Linked DNA regions of Callithrix jacchus. The protein of the gene in region 4 binds, or shares a complex with, the protein of the main gene of each other region. Links are inferred from orthologs where the notes say so. Each region holds a gene or a part of one and is shown on either strand. Other genes may lie near its edges.

The links. The genes of interacting proteins can lie anywhere in the genome.
Region 1: MED16 (region 4) and MED4 share a complex: the UniProt entries of both Homo sapiens proteins name them as parts of the mediator complex. The link is inferred for Callithrix jacchus from reciprocal best matches to the Homo sapiens genes MED16 and MED4.
Region 2: MED16 (region 4) and MED26 share a complex: the UniProt entries of both Homo sapiens proteins name them as parts of the mediator complex. The link is inferred for Callithrix jacchus from reciprocal best matches to the Homo sapiens genes MED16 and MED26.
Region 3: MED16 (region 4) and MED23 share a complex: the UniProt entries of both Homo sapiens proteins name them as parts of the mediator complex. The link is inferred for Callithrix jacchus from reciprocal best matches to the Homo sapiens genes MED16 and MED23.
Region 5: MED16 (region 4) and MED19 share a complex: the UniProt entries of both Homo sapiens proteins name them as parts of the mediator complex. The link is inferred for Callithrix jacchus from reciprocal best matches to the Homo sapiens genes MED16 and MED19.

What each region holds. Positions count from the first base shown.
Region 1 is NC_133502.1:67,851,117-67,854,616, forward strand, and holds part of MED4 (mediator of RNA polymerase II transcription subunit 4), read left to right. Parts: intron 1-2,480; coding exon 2,481-2,651; intron 2,652-3,500. UniProt on the Homo sapiens protein: Component of the Mediator complex, a coactivator involved in the regulated transcription of nearly all RNA polymerase II-dependent genes.
Region 2 is NC_133523.1:15,193,626-15,195,947, reverse strand, and holds part of MED26 (mediator of RNA polymerase II transcription subunit 26), read left to right. Parts: intron 1-696; coding exon 697-771; intron 772-1,390; coding exon 1,391-2,322. UniProt on the Homo sapiens protein: Component of the Mediator complex, a coactivator involved in the regulated transcription of nearly all RNA polymerase II-dependent genes.
Region 3 is NC_133505.1:138,232,474-138,235,973, reverse strand, and holds part of MED23 (mediator of RNA polymerase II transcription subunit 23), read left to right. Parts: intron 1-416; coding exon 417-653; intron 654-1,460; coding exon 1,461-1,626; intron 1,627-2,171; coding exon 2,172-2,244; intron 2,245-3,108; coding exon 3,109-3,323; intron 3,324-3,500. UniProt on the Homo sapiens protein: Required for transcriptional activation subsequent to the assembly of the pre-initiation complex. Component of the Mediator complex, a coactivator involved in the regulated transcription of nearly all RNA polymerase II-dependent genes.
Region 4 is NC_133523.1:834,341-838,496, reverse strand, and holds the start of MED16 (mediator of RNA polymerase II transcription subunit 16), read left to right. Parts: upstream 1-1,356; 5' UTR 1,357-1,489; intron 1,490-2,722; 5' UTR 2,723-2,882; intron 2,883-3,132; 5' UTR 3,133-3,150; coding exon 3,151-3,319; coding exon of another isoform or gene 3,320-3,363; intron 3,364-4,156. UniProt on the Homo sapiens protein: Component of the Mediator complex, a coactivator involved in the regulated transcription of nearly all RNA polymerase II-dependent genes.
Region 5 is NC_133511.1:115,283,945-115,286,761, reverse strand, and holds the end of MED19 (mediator of RNA polymerase II transcription subunit 19), read left to right. Parts: intron 1-819; coding exon 820-1,076; intron 1,077-1,232; coding exon 1,233-1,329; intron 1,330-1,634; coding exon 1,635-1,729; intron 1,730-1,920; coding exon 1,921-1,989; 3' UTR 1,990-2,317; downstream 2,318-2,817. UniProt on the Homo sapiens protein: Component of the Mediator complex, a coactivator involved in the regulated transcription of nearly all RNA polymerase II-dependent genes.

The sequences.
Region 1 (3,500 bases), on a different chromosome or scaffold from region 4:
TGAGGCCACAAACTAGGAAAAACAGCTAACCTTAGGGGTAGTAAGGTTTTTGTTTTGTTTTGTTTTTTTTAAAAGAAAGAGGCTAGAGATAAATTTGTTAATAAAAGACTACTAGTCTCTCGGGTACTCCATTAATACCTGTGGGATTGAATAGGAATTTATTACAAAATATGCAAGAAGGAAAATATAAAGCTTGACTATATTTCATAGACACTTATTAAATGCTTGCTGTGAGCCAGGCACACAGATTATTCAGAAGGTGATAATTAAGACCTGTAATCAGCACTGATCTTTCTTGTACTTTTTAAAGAGTAGCAATTTTGTGAATTGTATCTTGTACTTAGTACTGTGGATTCCTATGTAATTTTGATTGAAACTGTTAATATTAGAGAGGGATGTGCCCATCTGAAAATTTTCTAACCACCATTTTATTTGGATATTTATAAATTTATGTAGAATTTTAGAATTAGGATCTTAACGATGTTCAGTTCATCCTTCTGTGAGACTGAGCTCCAGGGTGGACAGATGAACTAGAGGTTAATGGTGAGTGGAACCAGAAAGAACCTAAGTCTCCTGACTCTAGTTGAGTAATTTTTCCCTACTGAATAATAAGATCTGAAGAGAATCTTTTTTACTCTTGGGTAGTAAACAAATTAGTTCAAACTATATAAACTTTTTAAAAGTTGTCATGGAACTAATGTGTACTACTTGCTTTAATAATGTAGCTTTTATAGAAATGGAAACCTAGCTTTCTCCTCCTATGATGTGGGAGGAATTGAGGATTAGAGGTCTAATAAACAAATACAATATACTTTTTACAGAAGAAGCTTTCGTTGTTATCTAAAATACTCTTAATATCTGGCAGTTTGCAGCTCAGTCTTTGTCTGTTGTATTAGGAGAATTCCTATAAAAATGAGAGGAACTTCATGTAAAAAGGAACTTGAAGAGGCATACCTGTATTTTTTAGTCTTTAACAAATGTTTTTAAAGAGTTTTAAAATTGATTTTGAATTTTGATAGCTATTTTATTTCTGAAGTATTATTCTCTACTTAGCACAGTAAAGTAAGGGTATTTAGGCCAGACTTGCATCTTAATTCTGTACTGGGATGGTGATCGTAATAACGAGCTTTTGTTGAACTCTTCACGTATGTACTTAAAATGCATTATATAATGAATCCTCACAATAGCTTTATGTAATATTATTATATACCTTTTCCTAATGAGAACACAGGCTCAAAGAGGCTGGTAACTTTCCCTATGTCACGCAGTTAGCAAATGGAGGACTAGAGAGATGAACTGCCAGATGTTCTATTTGATATGTTTTAGCCTTCATGAGTTTTTGCCATATCTGCATACCACCTATTTATTTGCTGTTTTTTGAAATAACTGTATTTTTAAGATCATCTTCATCATAGGCAGTACTGCGCATAAAATCACAGTTTCAATGTCTCAGTTACATTTATTCTAACATGTATTAGCACAAATGCGTAACTAAATGTTTTTTACGTTCTTGGTGCCACGTAAAATCATCTCAAGTGCCAAATTTTGGAAGAATCTTCATTATACTGTTTTTTTGTTTTGTTTTGTTGTAGAGGTGGAGTTTCACTCTTGTTTCCTAGGCTGGGGTGCAATGGCGAGATCTCGGCTCACCACAACCTCCGCCTCCTGGGTTCAAGCAATTCTCCTTCCTCAGCCTTCTGAGTAGCTGAGATTACAGGCATGTGCAAGCATGCCCGACTAATTTTGTATTTTTAGTAGAGATGGGGTTTCTCATGTTGGTCAGGCTGGTCTCAAACTATTGGCCTCAGGTGATTCGCCTGCCTCGGCCTCCCAAAGTGCTGGGATTATAGGTGTGAGCTACCGCACCTAGTCTATATTGTATTTTTAAAGATAAACCTTTTTTTTTTTTTAAGATGGAGTCTCACTCTGTTACCAGGCTGGACTTCAGTGGTGTGATTTTGGCTTACTGCAACCTCTACCTCCCAAGTTCCTTCAATTCTGGGATTATAGGTGCCCTGCCACCACACCCAACTAATTTTTGTATTTTTAGTAGAGATGGGGTTTCACCATACTGGCCAGGCTAGTCTCAAATTCCTGACCTCAAGTGATCCTCCTACTTCAGCCTCCCAAAGTACTGGGATTACAGGCAGGAGTCACTGTGCCCGGCCATAAGATTAAACTCTTAAATTTTATCTTCCCTAGGAAATCAGTAAACCTGATCATGCTGGCATATTGCTAGTTTTGAAAGACTAGTTTTATTTTATTTTGTATGAACAGCTGAAAAAGTAGAGAAGTTTGATATTAATGTTTCCCAAAATAATCATAGGTAGGCTATTTTTATTCTTAACAAGAATAAGGAATAATATTTTGAAAGTGTTGAAATTTTATAGTCTAGCCAATTCAGGTATGGATTCTTTGTTTTATTGGAATGCAGCCTTTCAGTATTCTGTTGTCTGATTTAATTGACTGTTATCTGACAGGTCCTAGAATTGTTAATTCACCGAGATGGGGAATTTCAAGAACTAATGAAATTGGCAGTTAATCAGGGAAAAATTCATCATGAAATGCAAGTTTTGGAAAAAGAAGTAGAGAAGAGAGACAGTGATATTCAGCAACTACAAAAACAGCTAAAGGAAGCAGAACAAATACTGGTAAGTTGACAAAGGTTGATTCTTAAGGTGAAACACGGTATTATTTAATCTATTTCTGAAAAATCTGTAATCAGTATTTTGAAGAGCAGAAAACTAGACTTTCCAGGTCTAAAAATGACATGTTGTCCATCTTGTCACTAACCATTGCCAGTGGTTAAATGAAAGGCTATTGTCACTCTCTTTTTTACTTACTGTTTTCAGATAGTCTGCATTACTTTTGAGCCACATTTCCATTACTTAAGGATTTTACAGTTTTGAATTATAGAAATGGAAAGTTTTACTTTTATCCTGGTTTAAGTTTTAATTATCAGTAGTCTAAATCTCTTTTTTTTTCTGGTCTCTGATCCTTAGGATAAAAATCAGGGAAATTTTTCATTTTTTATATATTTTGAAATCAGTAAAAATATATACACATTTTATAAAATGGTTAAAATTTACATTAATTTAGTCTTTCATCCTTATCTAGGTAGGATTTGGACCTGTATCAAGGATCCTAGTTTTTCCTTTGTTGTTTTGGCTACTATTTCAAAGAGGCAATTTATTTGCTATTATTTGTCCAGTTACTTAACTAAATGCTAACTAATATAATATGGTGGTTTTGCAGAAATAGCTGAGCTTGATTCTCATGTCAACCAGACATTGCTGGTATCCTTACCTCGGATGAATCTCTTAACAATTGTGTCAAAATGAGCTCTAGTAACTAGAAGCCTGCACAGTTCAGGATAAATTAATCACCCCCACTAAGAAAACAACTCACTAGTAAATAGTTTTTAAAAATACGTTAAAATCAGCCAAGCGCAGTGGTTCATGCCTATAATCCTCGCACTTTGGGAGGCCAAGGTGGGCAGA
Region 2 (2,322 bases), about 14 Mb from region 4:
CTTTTGTTTTTGAGATGGAGTCTCACTCTGTCACCAGGCTGGAGTGTAATGGCACGATCTTGGCTCACTGCAACCTCCACCTCCCGAGTTCAAGCGATTCTTCTGTCTCAGCCTCCCAAGTAGCTGAGACTACAGGCACGTGCCACCACACTTGGCTAATTTTTGTATTTTTAGTAGAAACGGGGTTTTACTATGTTGGCCAGGCTGGTGTCGAGCTCCTGACCTCATGATCTGCCTGCCTCAGCCTCCCAAACTGCTGGGATTACAGGTATGAGCTTCCACTCCTGGCCTATATATTGATCTTCTAAGCTTTGTGCATTTTATTCAATGAATTCTTCAGTGTCCCCTCTCCCACTCCCATCATATGGCAGAGTAGAGGTCGTCTTAACTATCAGGAGCAGCTCTGATTTAAGAGTCCTGGGTTTCAGCAGGTAGGTGGGTGGGTATGCACTGTGTAAGGGCTTGGGGCAGACCACACACCATGCACTAGAGGAGGTCGAACGGCAGGTGGGGATGAGCACTGGGTGCCAGGTTGGCCCAGGGAGCAGGTAGGAGACTACCTGGAGTGTGGGCTTCAGTGCTTCCAGCTCCTCTTGCTCTGGGGTTGGGGAGAGACCCAAGCAGCCTGGGGCTGGGTGTCTCAGCCTCCCAGGGGGAGAGGACAGGCACCTAACAAATGGCTTTTTATTTCCACAGATCCGGAACATGGTGGCGGTGCTGGAAGTCATCTCCAGCCTGGAGAAATACCCCATTACCAAAGAGGCACTTGAGGTGAGTATCCCACACCCCAGCATGGGGGAGGGCAGAACGGGGGGCAGGGGGCGGCTCCAAACCAGGTCCTTGGGAACATCAGTCTCTTTGCTTCAGAGGACCAAGAGAGGCAGTGTGCCGTCACAGCATGTGCCCCACGATCATGGTCTCCCATGGGCACTGCAGGGACGGAGTGATGTTAATCCCATCCTGCATGCCCACTTTGTGGGCACGTGGGGGACATCGGGAGAGGTGTGCTTGGGGAAGGCTCCAGTGAGTGGCACCATCCCCAGCCCTCCACTTGAAGCAGGCCCTCTGTGCTGTCACCTTGGCAACGGCACCCTCTCACCCAGAAAGCCTCTCTGGCAGTGTCCTTGCAGTGACCTGACGGGCCACAGCCCCCTGGCACCGGAAGCACTGCCAAGAAGCCACCTGTGACCCTTAAGGTCTGGGGACTGGGTTCAGAAAATATTGTCACAAAGGGCCAGAAATCCCCAGAGGTTGTGTCGGGGAGCTGGCAGTTTAGGGCTCAGTGCGAATGGGGTCATTTCAGAGTCAGGGCCACTTCCCACCATTTCTGGCTCAGCTTGTGGGGAAGCCCCTGTCTTGAAAGTATGTCATCATCTCTTTCTGGTTGTAGGAAACACGGCTTGGGAAGCTCATCAACGACGTCCGCAAGAAAACCAAGAACGAGGAGCTCGCCAAGCGGGCCAAGAAACTACTTCGGAGCTGGCAGAAGCTCATCGAGCCAGCACACCAGCATGAGGTGGCACTGCGGGGGCTGGCAGGGGCCACCGGCTCTGCTAACGGGGGCGCACACAACTGCCGGCCAGAGGTCGGGGCGGCCGGCCCGCCCAGGAGCATCCACGACCTGAAAAGCCGCAATGACCTCCAGAGGCTGCCTGGGCAGCGGCTGGACAGACTGGGCAGCCGCAAGCGCCGGGGTGACCAGCGTGACCTTGGCCACCCGGGGCCGCCACCCAAGGTCTCCAAAGCTACCCATGACCCCCTGGTCCCCAACTCATCCCCCCTCCCCACCAATGGGATCAGTGGGAGCCCAGAGAGTTTCCCCGGCTCCCTGGATGGCAGCGGGCATGCAGGCCCGGAGGGCAGCCGCCTGGAACGTGGTGAGAACGACAAGCACGGTGGCAAGATCCCCATCAATGCCGTGCGGCCACACACCAGCTCCCCAGGCCTGAGTAAACCCCCTGGGCCCTGCTTGCAGGCAAAGGCTTCAGTGCTGCAGCAGTTGGACAGGGTGGACGAGACTCCAGGGCCTCCCCACCCCAAGGGGCCCCCTCGCTGCTCTTTCAGTCCTCGGAACTCACGGCATGAGGGCTCCTTTGCCCGGCAGCAGAACTTGTATGTACCTAAGGGCTCCATGCCCAGCCCCTCACCACGGCCCCAGACACTTGATGCCACACAGGTGCCGTCACCGCTTCCACTGGCACAGCCGTCCACACCCCCTGTGCGGCGGCCTGAGCTGCTGTCCAGCTCGGAAAGCCCAGTACGCTGGCTTGAGCAGCCTGAGAGCCACCAACGGCTGGCAGGGCCAGGCTGCAAGGCTGGGCT
Region 3 (3,500 bases), on a different chromosome or scaffold from region 4:
CTGTTTGTTTCAACTTTATCATATATTAGGGTTGGCCATTTGTATCAATACATGCCATAATTTATTTTATTAGTTCCCTGTTTTTGACTTTTTAGGCTGTTTTTCATTTATGGTAGCGTAAAGAACATCCCTTGTTGTATGTCAAGGGATGAAAATTTATGCAGAATACATTTTCAGAAATGGAGTTGCTTCCACTTAAATAAAAACAAATGCAAATACAAACTGCATATTACTAGAAGCATTCTGAGCCTTCTGCCTCTACTCAGGTTAAAATATCCATAGTATACAATTGTCCAGCTGTGAAATTGTTTCATAATCTTCTGAGCTGTTTTTCAGTTATCTTGAAAGCAGTGGATTAGTTTTTCACAGTTATCAGTAACCAGTTAAACGTGTGGTGATATTTTTTTTCTTGGCAGATCGTCCAGTGACTTACCTGTATAATACTCTGCACTATTATGAAATGCACCTGAGAGACCGCGCATTTCTCAAACGAAAACTCGTCCATGCTATCATCGGCTCTCTCAAGGATAATAGACCACAGGGCTGGTGTCTAAGTGACACTTACCTGAAGTGTGCTATGAATGCACGAGAGGAAAATCCATGGGTTCCAGATGACACCTACTATTGCAGATTGATTGGCAGACTAGTCGATAATATCCTTTCTACTCTGATTTTACAGACTCTCCAGAAATAACAGTATTTTGATTTATGAGAACGTATTTTTCTTTTTAAGGTAATTTTTTATATATTCCAAGGTTTTACTTTTTTTTTTAAGATCACTTCCCTTTTTATCTCTCTAAAGGTTTGAAATCTTAAATTAGCAGCATCATGCCAGATAGGCTGAAATTCTTTTAAAATTTATATTTTAGAACTTGAGGATAAGTGGTTAAAAATTATATTTAAAAATAGACTTTATGGAGATTTGTTTCAAAGAAAAAAATTTATTCTTAAATGAACTCTATTTTGTAGCACATGCATCTGTGTGCTACTGGAGAATGTAGCATCTTGTTACTTTAAAAAAGTATGTTTTTATTAAATAATAAACGATAAAACATTTTTCTTTTTTTAGTGAAAAGGGATATTTTAGTGAAAATATACTTGTATGTTTCTTCATTTTGATTTTATGTTTTCATTTATTAGCATCTATACTTCATACCACCATTTTACTATGTAGAGAAATTCTACGTAAATGAGTGTGACTTGTTTTCCTACATAAAGGAATTTATTTTCTGAAGCAAAAGAAGAGCTCATTATAAAATAATGTTCATATTAATGTCTTATAACTTTTAGAAGAAATAGGCTCATGAAGTCTAGGTATACCTTGATTGCATCTGTGGCTATTATACATCACATTTATAAGAACCCACCTGTAAGACCAACCATTTATACTTGTGGTTAATTAAATGATTGCTCTTAATACATTTCAATCATGTCAGTGTTATTGCTTTAACTGTGTGCACCAATGGCTGGCAAATCTCCTGGTCCCTTTCCAAACTGTGACTGGAGATTCAATGAGTTTCCCAACCCAGCTGCCCACGCTCTCCATGTTACATGTGTGGAGCTCATGGCCTTGGCAGTTTCAGGCAAAGAGGTCGGGAATGCCCTTCTAAATGTTGTCCTGAAAAGGTATGTATTCTGGTTCATGCAGTAAGATTTGTTGTTTATTTGTAAACAGAATGGTGTTTTATTTGGACCTTTAAGACAGACCTGTTGCCACAAGGCTGTTGAACATTGGATGATGACTGTTTTCTGGTTCCAGATCTTGTCTTTGTGATATAGGAGTTATGGAATGAGCCCTGGATAGGATCATTAAGATCTGGGTTTGTTCCTACTTCTACTCATTAATAGCAGTTTGACATTTAGTTTAGGATTAATGTTAACTTGTCACTTAAAACAAGATTCTCTTAATCTTGTTTTCAAGATTTCAAGAATCTCTTAAAAACTAGCACAAAATATTGGATAATGATTGGGGAAGAAGTATTTTTAAAGAGCCTTATTGAGTTTCTATGTATATTACATTTTTATTCAATAAAAAATTCCCCATTGTTTTATTGAAATTGATTAGTTTTCAATCCTCTGAATTATACATATTCTTTAAAACTAAGATCCATTGTCAACCATCTAAAATGTTTTTATAATTTCATACTTGTGTTCTTTTTTGCTGGTTGCAGTCAGCCTTTAGTGCCAAGAGAGAACATTACAGCATGGATGAATGCAATTGGTTTGATCATCACTGCCTTACCAGTGAGTTAATAATTGTGATTTGTACTTACTGATGAAATACAGCCCCTTGTTCCATGTCAGCAAAAAGAAAAAGATGCATATAGGATGCCCTGGTACAAGGACGTCAAACAAATTAATGAAGTATTTTATGTTTTTAAAGTTTTTCATATTATTACTGCTTTAAAAATTTACAGTGACTAGTTTTTGCCTTTCTGTATTAGATCTAAATACCTCTGCATAACTTACATGTCTCTGCATTTTCTGGTACCACCTTACCTATCCAACTTTAGTTTTTACATTATAACCTGATCTACTCTTGGCCACTTAATATGTTGTGTATCTACAGCCTTTGTTCTTGCAGATGGTACTTATTAAGACATGTTTTAGGTACTTCCGAATGTGAGTGAATAAGACATTATTTTTATTCCAGAACCTTCTTCTTTCCATCACCTTCTCTAAAGCCTATTTATTCTTTGCTAGCTTAGAGCCTCCTTTCTTAGTGAATGAAGCCTTACCTGACTTTTCCAGCCCACATGAAGACTCCCTTCTCTGACCTCCACACATATCTAAAAAAAAGTTTATTATTATAAAATAAGCAATAAAACTATTGATTTATTGTTTGGTAAGTTAATTGATTTACTGCATAGTATATATCAGGTACCTAAATGAGCTGGACAGATAAATGTATGGAGCCCCCTAACTCACAGGCACTTCTCCCAGGTTGTTACTGACTTAATTTGCCCAGTTACAAAGTCATCCAACAGATTTCCAGCAGAAGCTGGAAAAGTAGAAAACTTTAAAGACTGAGAAAACACTATTATTTTAGTCTTTGTGATAGAATGCTAGATAAGTGATTTTTTCACTAGCTTTCCTCCAATTTTAAAGGAGCCATACTGGATTGTTCTTCATGATCGAATTGTGAGTGTTATCAGCAGCCCCAGCTTGACATCTGAAACAGAGTGGGTTGGCTATCCATTCCGCCTCTTTGATTTCACTGCCTGTCATCAGTCCTACTCTGAGATGAGCTGTAGCTATACATTAGCTCTCGCACATGCTGTGTGGCACCATTCTAGCATTGGACAACTTTCTCTCATTCCAAAGTAAGTGTAATAATTTCTTAAAGAAATTTGACATATTTCATTTTTTTCAATCTCATTAACAGATGAGGTATATACCTCATTCATTAGAACAATTTGCAAAGTAAGTTCATCAGAAAGCTCCTTTTGCTTCAGAATTGTTTTCTGAAAAATTGACTTGTATATGCTAGTAATAATCTA
Region 4 (4,156 bases):
TCCAGCCACTTGGCAGGCTGAGGCAGGAAAATTGCTTGAACCCGGACAATGGAGGTTGCGGTGAGCCGAGAGTGTGCCATTGCACTCCAGCCTGGGCGACAGAGTGAGACCCTGTGTGAAAAATAAATAACGCCCAGCTAATTTTTGCATTTTTAGTAGAGATGAGGTTAAAAATAAAAAAATAAATAAATAAAAAGAAAAGCACAACATGCATTGCATTAAACTGGCTCGTGGAGGTGGAGGTGGAAATGGGGTTGGAGGTAGGAACATTCCTCAGCGGGACTGGTGACTTCAGATAAAGGAGCCTCAGTTTCTCCAATCTTGGAGACTAGAAAACGGAAGAAATGGCCGGGCGCGGTGGCTGACGCCTGTAATCCCAGCACTCTGGGAGGCCGAGGCGGGTGGATCACGAGGTCAAGAGATCGAGACCATCCTGGTCAACATGGTGAAACCCCGTCTCTACTAAAAATACAAAAAATTAGCTGGGCATGGTGGCGCGTGCCTGTAATCCCAGCTACTCGGGAGGCTGAGGCAGGAGAATTGCCTGAACCCGGGAGGCGGAGGTTGCGGTGAGCCGAGATCGCGCCATTGCACTCCAGCCTGGGTAACAAGAGCGAAACTCCCGTCTCAAAAAAAAAAAAAATTTAAATTAAATTAAAAAAACATAAAATCAAAACCATAGTGTTCTCCTGTGTATGCAGCAGGCGCTCAATATGTGCTCCTGCGGAGCGTTTACTTACTTATTTACGGTAGCTCGAGGGCCACAGGGGCAGGTGGCGGGGCGCCACAACTAAGTGGGGACGGCCAGATTGTTCTCCAGTCGCCGACCTTAGTGGTGCAACAGGAAACGAAAAGGGGAAGGCGATGGCGTCACCGCACCAGTGACGTCATTGCAGGATGGCGGAAGGGAGGGGCCCTGTGACGTCATTGCGGGCTCGCGGAAGGGAGGGGCCCTGTGACGTCATTGCGGGCTCGCGGAAGGGAAGCAAAAATATGGAACGCTTCACGAATTTGCGTGTCATCCTTGCGCAGGGGCCATGCTAATCTTCTCTGTATCGTTCCAATTTTAGTATATGTGCTGCCGAAGCGAGCACGATTGAGCTGCCGCACCGGGACCTATTTATAGCCTCTATAGTCAACTCCTCTACACATAGGGTGACTTTTGTTAAATGCTATAGACGCCCAACCTGTATTTCCGTGGTCTGACGTGTAATCCAACCAACGCAGTTATTAACTGGAGCTGGGAAAGTGCTTATTCCACCAAATATAGTTACGGTGGCTTTTGGGAATCACTGGAAATGCTCGCATGCAAATATACCCGGAAGCGGGGCGGAGCCTAGGCCGCGCCGCCGTCCCAGAAGTCTTTGGGAGGCGGCGGCGCGGGCCAGGCAACTCGTTGGTCCCAGGGAAGATGGCGGCGCCGGAGCCGAGGCATTAGGGAAATTTCGCGCCGCGGACGCCCGCTGGTCTTGGCGCACCGGCCGGCCAGGTGAGCGCGGGGCTGCGGGGGCCGGCCGGGGGCGGGACGGATTCCCGGTGGCGTCTGCTGCCCCAGGGAACGCGGCGCGGCGGAGGCGGGGCCTGCAGGGTTAGGGGGCGTGTCCGGAAGCAAAGGCTGCTGGGTAGGCGGCTTTCGGCCCCAGGGTCTGCAGCTTGCGGCGGAAACTCCGAAGCAGCCGGAGGCCCGCGGGGCGGGGCGGGGCTAGGGGCGGGGTCTGAAGGGAGTTTTGGGCGGGGCTGAAGGCGCTTGGTGGGACTTAGGGGGCGGGGCTTGTGGGTTTGGGGGCCCCGGCATGGAGCCTGGGAACTGGATAGCTATATGGATGAAACCTGGAGAGTTGGGTTCCCTGGGGTGGACCGTGGAGATTGGAGGTCATAGGGGCGGAGCCTGTAGACGCCATGGGGTCCCTGGGATGAAGCCTGCTGTTTGGGGGCAATAGGGAAAGGGCCTGGAGACTACATGGGGTTCCTGGAGGGGAACCTGGGGACTGGGGAGTTTTAGGGGTGGGGCCTGGAGAGCCAAGGCTGTCGGAGGCTGGACCTGGGGAGGTCAGCCAACATGGGACCCCTAGGGTGAAGCCTGAGAATTTAGGCTGAGGCCATGGGCCCCAGGGGTGGTTTGAAGTGGGGGAAGCAAGAGGTGTCAGGGGCTGACTTTAAGGGGTGTCTGGCGGAGCCCTGGGGGTCTGGGGCAGACCCTGAAGTAGGCAGCCCCGGATAGGGTTTGAGGAAAACCGCCTGGTGGTCCTTCCAGCCTCACTGGGTTTTTGCCTTTGTGAAGCAGAAACAGTCTGTCCAGATGCTGGGCGCTTAGAAAGCCCGAAGGAAACAGGGCCGGGCGCCTGTAATCCCAGCACTCTGGGAGGCCGAGGCGGGTGGATCACGAGGTCAAGAGATCGAGACCATCCCGGTCAACGTGGTGAAACCCCGTCTCTACTAAAGATACAAAAATTAGCTGGGCATGGTGGCGCGTGCCTGTGATCCCAGCTACTCGGGAGGCTGAGGCAGGAGAATTGCTTGAACCCAGGAGGCGGAGGTTGCGGTGAGCCGAGATCGCGCCATTGCACTCCAGCCTGGGTAACAAGAGCGAGACTCCGTCTCAAAAAAAAGCAAGCCCCTAGGAAATGCTCCCTCTGTTGCCTGTCACACTCACCAAGCCCCTTCGCCCCAGAACGCCTGCCCGCCTTGGCCACAGGCAGCCCCACCATATGCCTGTTTGTAGGCCCTTCCTTCAAAAGAGACCCAGCGTCCTCCTGCTGCCGCCATCATCACTCACCTGGGCCAGTGCAGACCCTCCGCCGCTTCTTCGGCTGTGCCCTTGGCCCCCCCCCCCCGCCCCGATCTGTTACCCAGATAGCCAGAGGGGCCCTGGTGAAATCCAAGTAAGTCCCAGCCCTCCTGGGCTCCCACCCCGCTCAGGGTAAAAGCCCACAGGCCCTGACCTCTCCACACCCCCTTCAGCCCCAGCCCCGTGGGCTGCCGGGAACGCCCCAGGCTCTTTCTGGCCTCCGGGCCTTTGCACCTGCCGTTCCTTCGACTGCCTGCCTGTGGTTTTCCCGTATCCGGCCTGGCACTCCACGTGCCCTGGAAGCTCAGTCCACACAGACGACCAGCCAGACCTCCCTCCCGCAGGAGCTGGTGACTGCCCTCATGTGTGACTTGCGGCGGCCGGCAGCAGGTGGGATGATGGACTTGGCCTACGTCTGTGAGTGGGAGAAATGGTCCAAGAGCACGCACTGCCCGTCGGTGCCCCTGGCCTGCGCCTGGTCCTGCCGAAACCTCATCGCCTTCACCATGGACCTGCGCAGCGACGACCAGGGTGCGCCCCCTCCCGCCCACGTGGCGTCCCACCCTTTTCCCCAGGTACCCGGCACCCTGCCTTGCGGGGATCCAGTCTTGCAGGACACCCCTCACTCTCTAACGTGGGTGAGAGCCTCAGCCTCCTGGAGGTGCAGAGGGTGGATTCAGTGCTCCCCACACCTGGTGCCGGGAGACGTGAGGTCCCCACTCTGTGGGATCGAACGGGGCTGGGGTGGTGGTTGACGCAGGCATGTTAGGGACACCTGCCCCAGGTTTCCAGATGGTGTGGGTCACTGTTTGGTTTTTGAAAGGCACCTGGTGGCCGGGCGTGGTGGCTCATGCCTGTAATCCCAGCACTTTGGGAGGCCGAGGCGGGTGGATCACAAGGTCAAGAGATCGAGACCATCCTGGTCAACATGGTGAAACCCCGTCTCTACTAAAGATACAAAAATTAGCTGGGCACGGTGGCATGTGCCTGTAATCCCAGCTGCTCGGGAGGCTGAGGCAGGAGAATTGCCTGAACCCAGGAGGCGGAGGTTGCGGTGAGCCGAGATCGCACCATTGCACTCCTGCCTGGGTAATAAGAGCGAAACTCCGTCTCAAAAAAAAAAGAAAGGTACGTGGTGGCTGCACTCATTTTCTCTCTATTGCTCCAGTATATGCACCTGTAATATGTGCTCAATAGAGAAGATTAGAAAACCACAGGAAATTAGAATCAAACCAGGGTGAGAAAAGCCACCTTTCACCTTCTGTGGAGGAGCCTGCTTTCAAATTTTGGGTCATTTTCTTCTAGTCTGGTTTTAAAAACGTGGTCGTGGCGCATCACGGGCCTTTTCTGTTCCGGGGCGGCGGTGGG
Region 5 (2,817 bases), on a different chromosome or scaffold from region 4:
CACAGTGGTTCATGCCTATAATACCAGCACTTGGGGAAGCTGAGGCGGGCAGACCACTTGAGGTCAGGAGTTCGAGACCAGCCTGGCCAACATGGTGAAACCCTGTTTCTACTAAAAAAAAAATTAGCCAGGCATGTTGGCGCATGCATGTGATCCCAGCTACTTGGAAGGCTGAGGTGGGAGAAATGCTTAAACCTGGGAGGCGGAGGTTGCAGTGAGCCAAGATCGCACCTCTGTACTCCAGCCTGGTGACAGAGCAAACTCTATCACAATAACAAAAAAAATTCCTTCCTTTTAGGCAAGGTATCATACTCAGTATCATGAGGAAGAATAAAGATGTTGGTAACAAAAATTAGGCAGTGGTAGCTAGAAAAATCTCCTGGTTCTTGACAAGACCCTTAAGTCACTGGGTCATATTTGGCCCCGTTAGCATGGTTGTAGCTGAGCTGTGAGGTAGTGTTTTCCTGGCTATGCTATATAATTTGTCACTAGTACATTTTGTGAGAAGCACTCAGAACAGCATTTACCGTGAAGTAAGCATCATGTAAGTCAACTCTAATCTAAGGAGAGTGGAATGTCTCCTTCATTGGGTGAGCAGTTTCTGTCTCTGCCCTATTGGATTTTTGCCTATTTTTCCCCCTTTCCATTGGACCCTACCACTGTGTTGTATTTTTTCATATTTATGATTTATTTACTTCTGCTGTTTCTCTAAATTTTAAAATGTTCACCTAAAATATTCTTTAGGTTAATATATAGTCCTTCGCTCTCTGGGCCTACTTTGGGGACTGATTTTTTTTATTTTTATTCTGTGTTGTCTAGGTAGCACAGAGCTCACAGGCAGCACGAATCTGATCACACATTACAACTTGGAACAAGCCTATAATAAATTCTGTGGGAAGAAGGTGAAGGAGAAGCTTAGTAACTTCCTGCCTGACCTGCCAGGGATGATTGATCTGCCTGGTTCCCATGATAACAGCAGCCTCCGCTCCCTCATTGAGAAGCCCCCTATTCTCAGCAGCTCTTTTAATCCTATCACAGGGACCATGCTGGCCGGCTTCCGCCTCCACACTGGCCCGGTAAGTCCCCTTGGAAGGAGGAAGGCGAATGGGGAGGCCTAAACATGGAGATGGTTTTTCTGTCCCAGTCTGTTCCTTCATGATGGAGCAGAACAGATGATGGGAACAGGGGATTTCCTTCCTCTTCTCACCTGGACCTTCCTTTGGTTCCTTCAGTTGCCAGAGCAGTGTCGTCTGATGCATATTCAGCCTCCCAAGAAGAAGAATAAGCACAAGCACAAACAGAGCCGTACCCAGGATCCTGTACCCCCAGGTAAGAAGCAGTTCTACTCAAAGCTAAAAAAAAAACCCTGACCTTCTGAATCTGGTTTGACCTTCCATAGGTAAACCCAGTTAAGTTCATACGGAGCTCTGGACTCCTAAATTCCCCTGAAGAAGAAACCAGTGTACTGGGGTCTCTTGGGACTTATCACAGGGACTCTAGCAGCACTTCTGTATCCTTTCTGACCATTTGGACAAAAGCACTTGCCCCTGACTTGGGATTTTCCTGTCTGCAGTCTTCCCAACAGGAGAGGATTTTGAGCTCTACAGGTGATAGGTACCTAATGTCTCCTACAGAAACACCATCTGATTCGGATCACAAGAAGAAGAAAAAGAAAAAAGAAGAGGATCCTGAAAGGAAAAGGAAGAAGAAAGAGAAGAAGAAAAAGAAGGTAGAGTAGAGGCCTATTGCCACAACTCAGTGAGTTTCCCCATATCTCACCTCTGTCCTAAATAGAGTTCTTTGCCTCCAGATGGATCCAAGATTGAAAACCCAGGGCAGGTTGCAGGTTTCTCCTGTACAGCCTGATCAAAGCCAAGGCTAGTTCCTAGTTGTTCTTACCTCTCCTCCTTTCTCCCCCAGAACCGACATAGTCCAGACCACCCCGGTATGGGTAGTTCCCAGGCCAGCAGCAGCAGCAGCCTACGCTAACAGGACCACTGGACTCTTTGCCAGGATGGCCTTTCCTGCTATATTGAACCCGCTGACAAAAGCTGCCTTCCAGCCTCTTTGGACACTGCCTTGGGAGCATCCTGCAGCTGGGACAGAGGCCAGCTCTGTTGGGCTCAGTTGAGATTAAGTAATTATGAGAGAGAGAGGGACATGCTTTTGTAGGCTCATCCCTGTTGGCTTTCTCATGGATATCTCTTCCTCTTCCAGGAAGCTTACGATTTTCTTCTCTCTCTTTTGTGCAATTTGTCTGATTTAGGACTTGTGCGTTTTTTCTTAAAAAAAAAAAATTACATTTATCAAACTGGCTGAAGTGTGACTGCCTAAGAGGTATGTGGCTGTCTGAGTCAGGATTTAAGAAAAGGCTTTGCTAAGTCTTGAGGGGATCTGGGTCATGTCATTACATTATCTCACTAACAGGCAGGGAAACAATCAAAATGAAAAGTGAGCCAAGCTTACTAATACTCCACAGCAGACACATAACACTCCGCCCGTTATGTTGAGAACTAAGCACCTAGGTGATCACAGGCTCTATCTGAAGAGCTGATCCAGGTAGGGCTCAACAGTGTGTTCTAGGTCAATTTTGTGTTGAAACAGAAAAGCCAACCAAAAACACATGGACAGTCACCAGTGTATTTCAACAAGATTGGTTCCTAGATCAGAAGCCTGTGATATTTTGAAATGAACTTCTGGCAAGCAAAGGTAAATGCTTCTCTTCTCTTTACAAGAACTTTTGACCTGCTTCATTCCTTAGTTAAGACACTGAAGTTAAGGATCAAAGAGAGAGAGAAAAAAAAGACACTAAAGTTA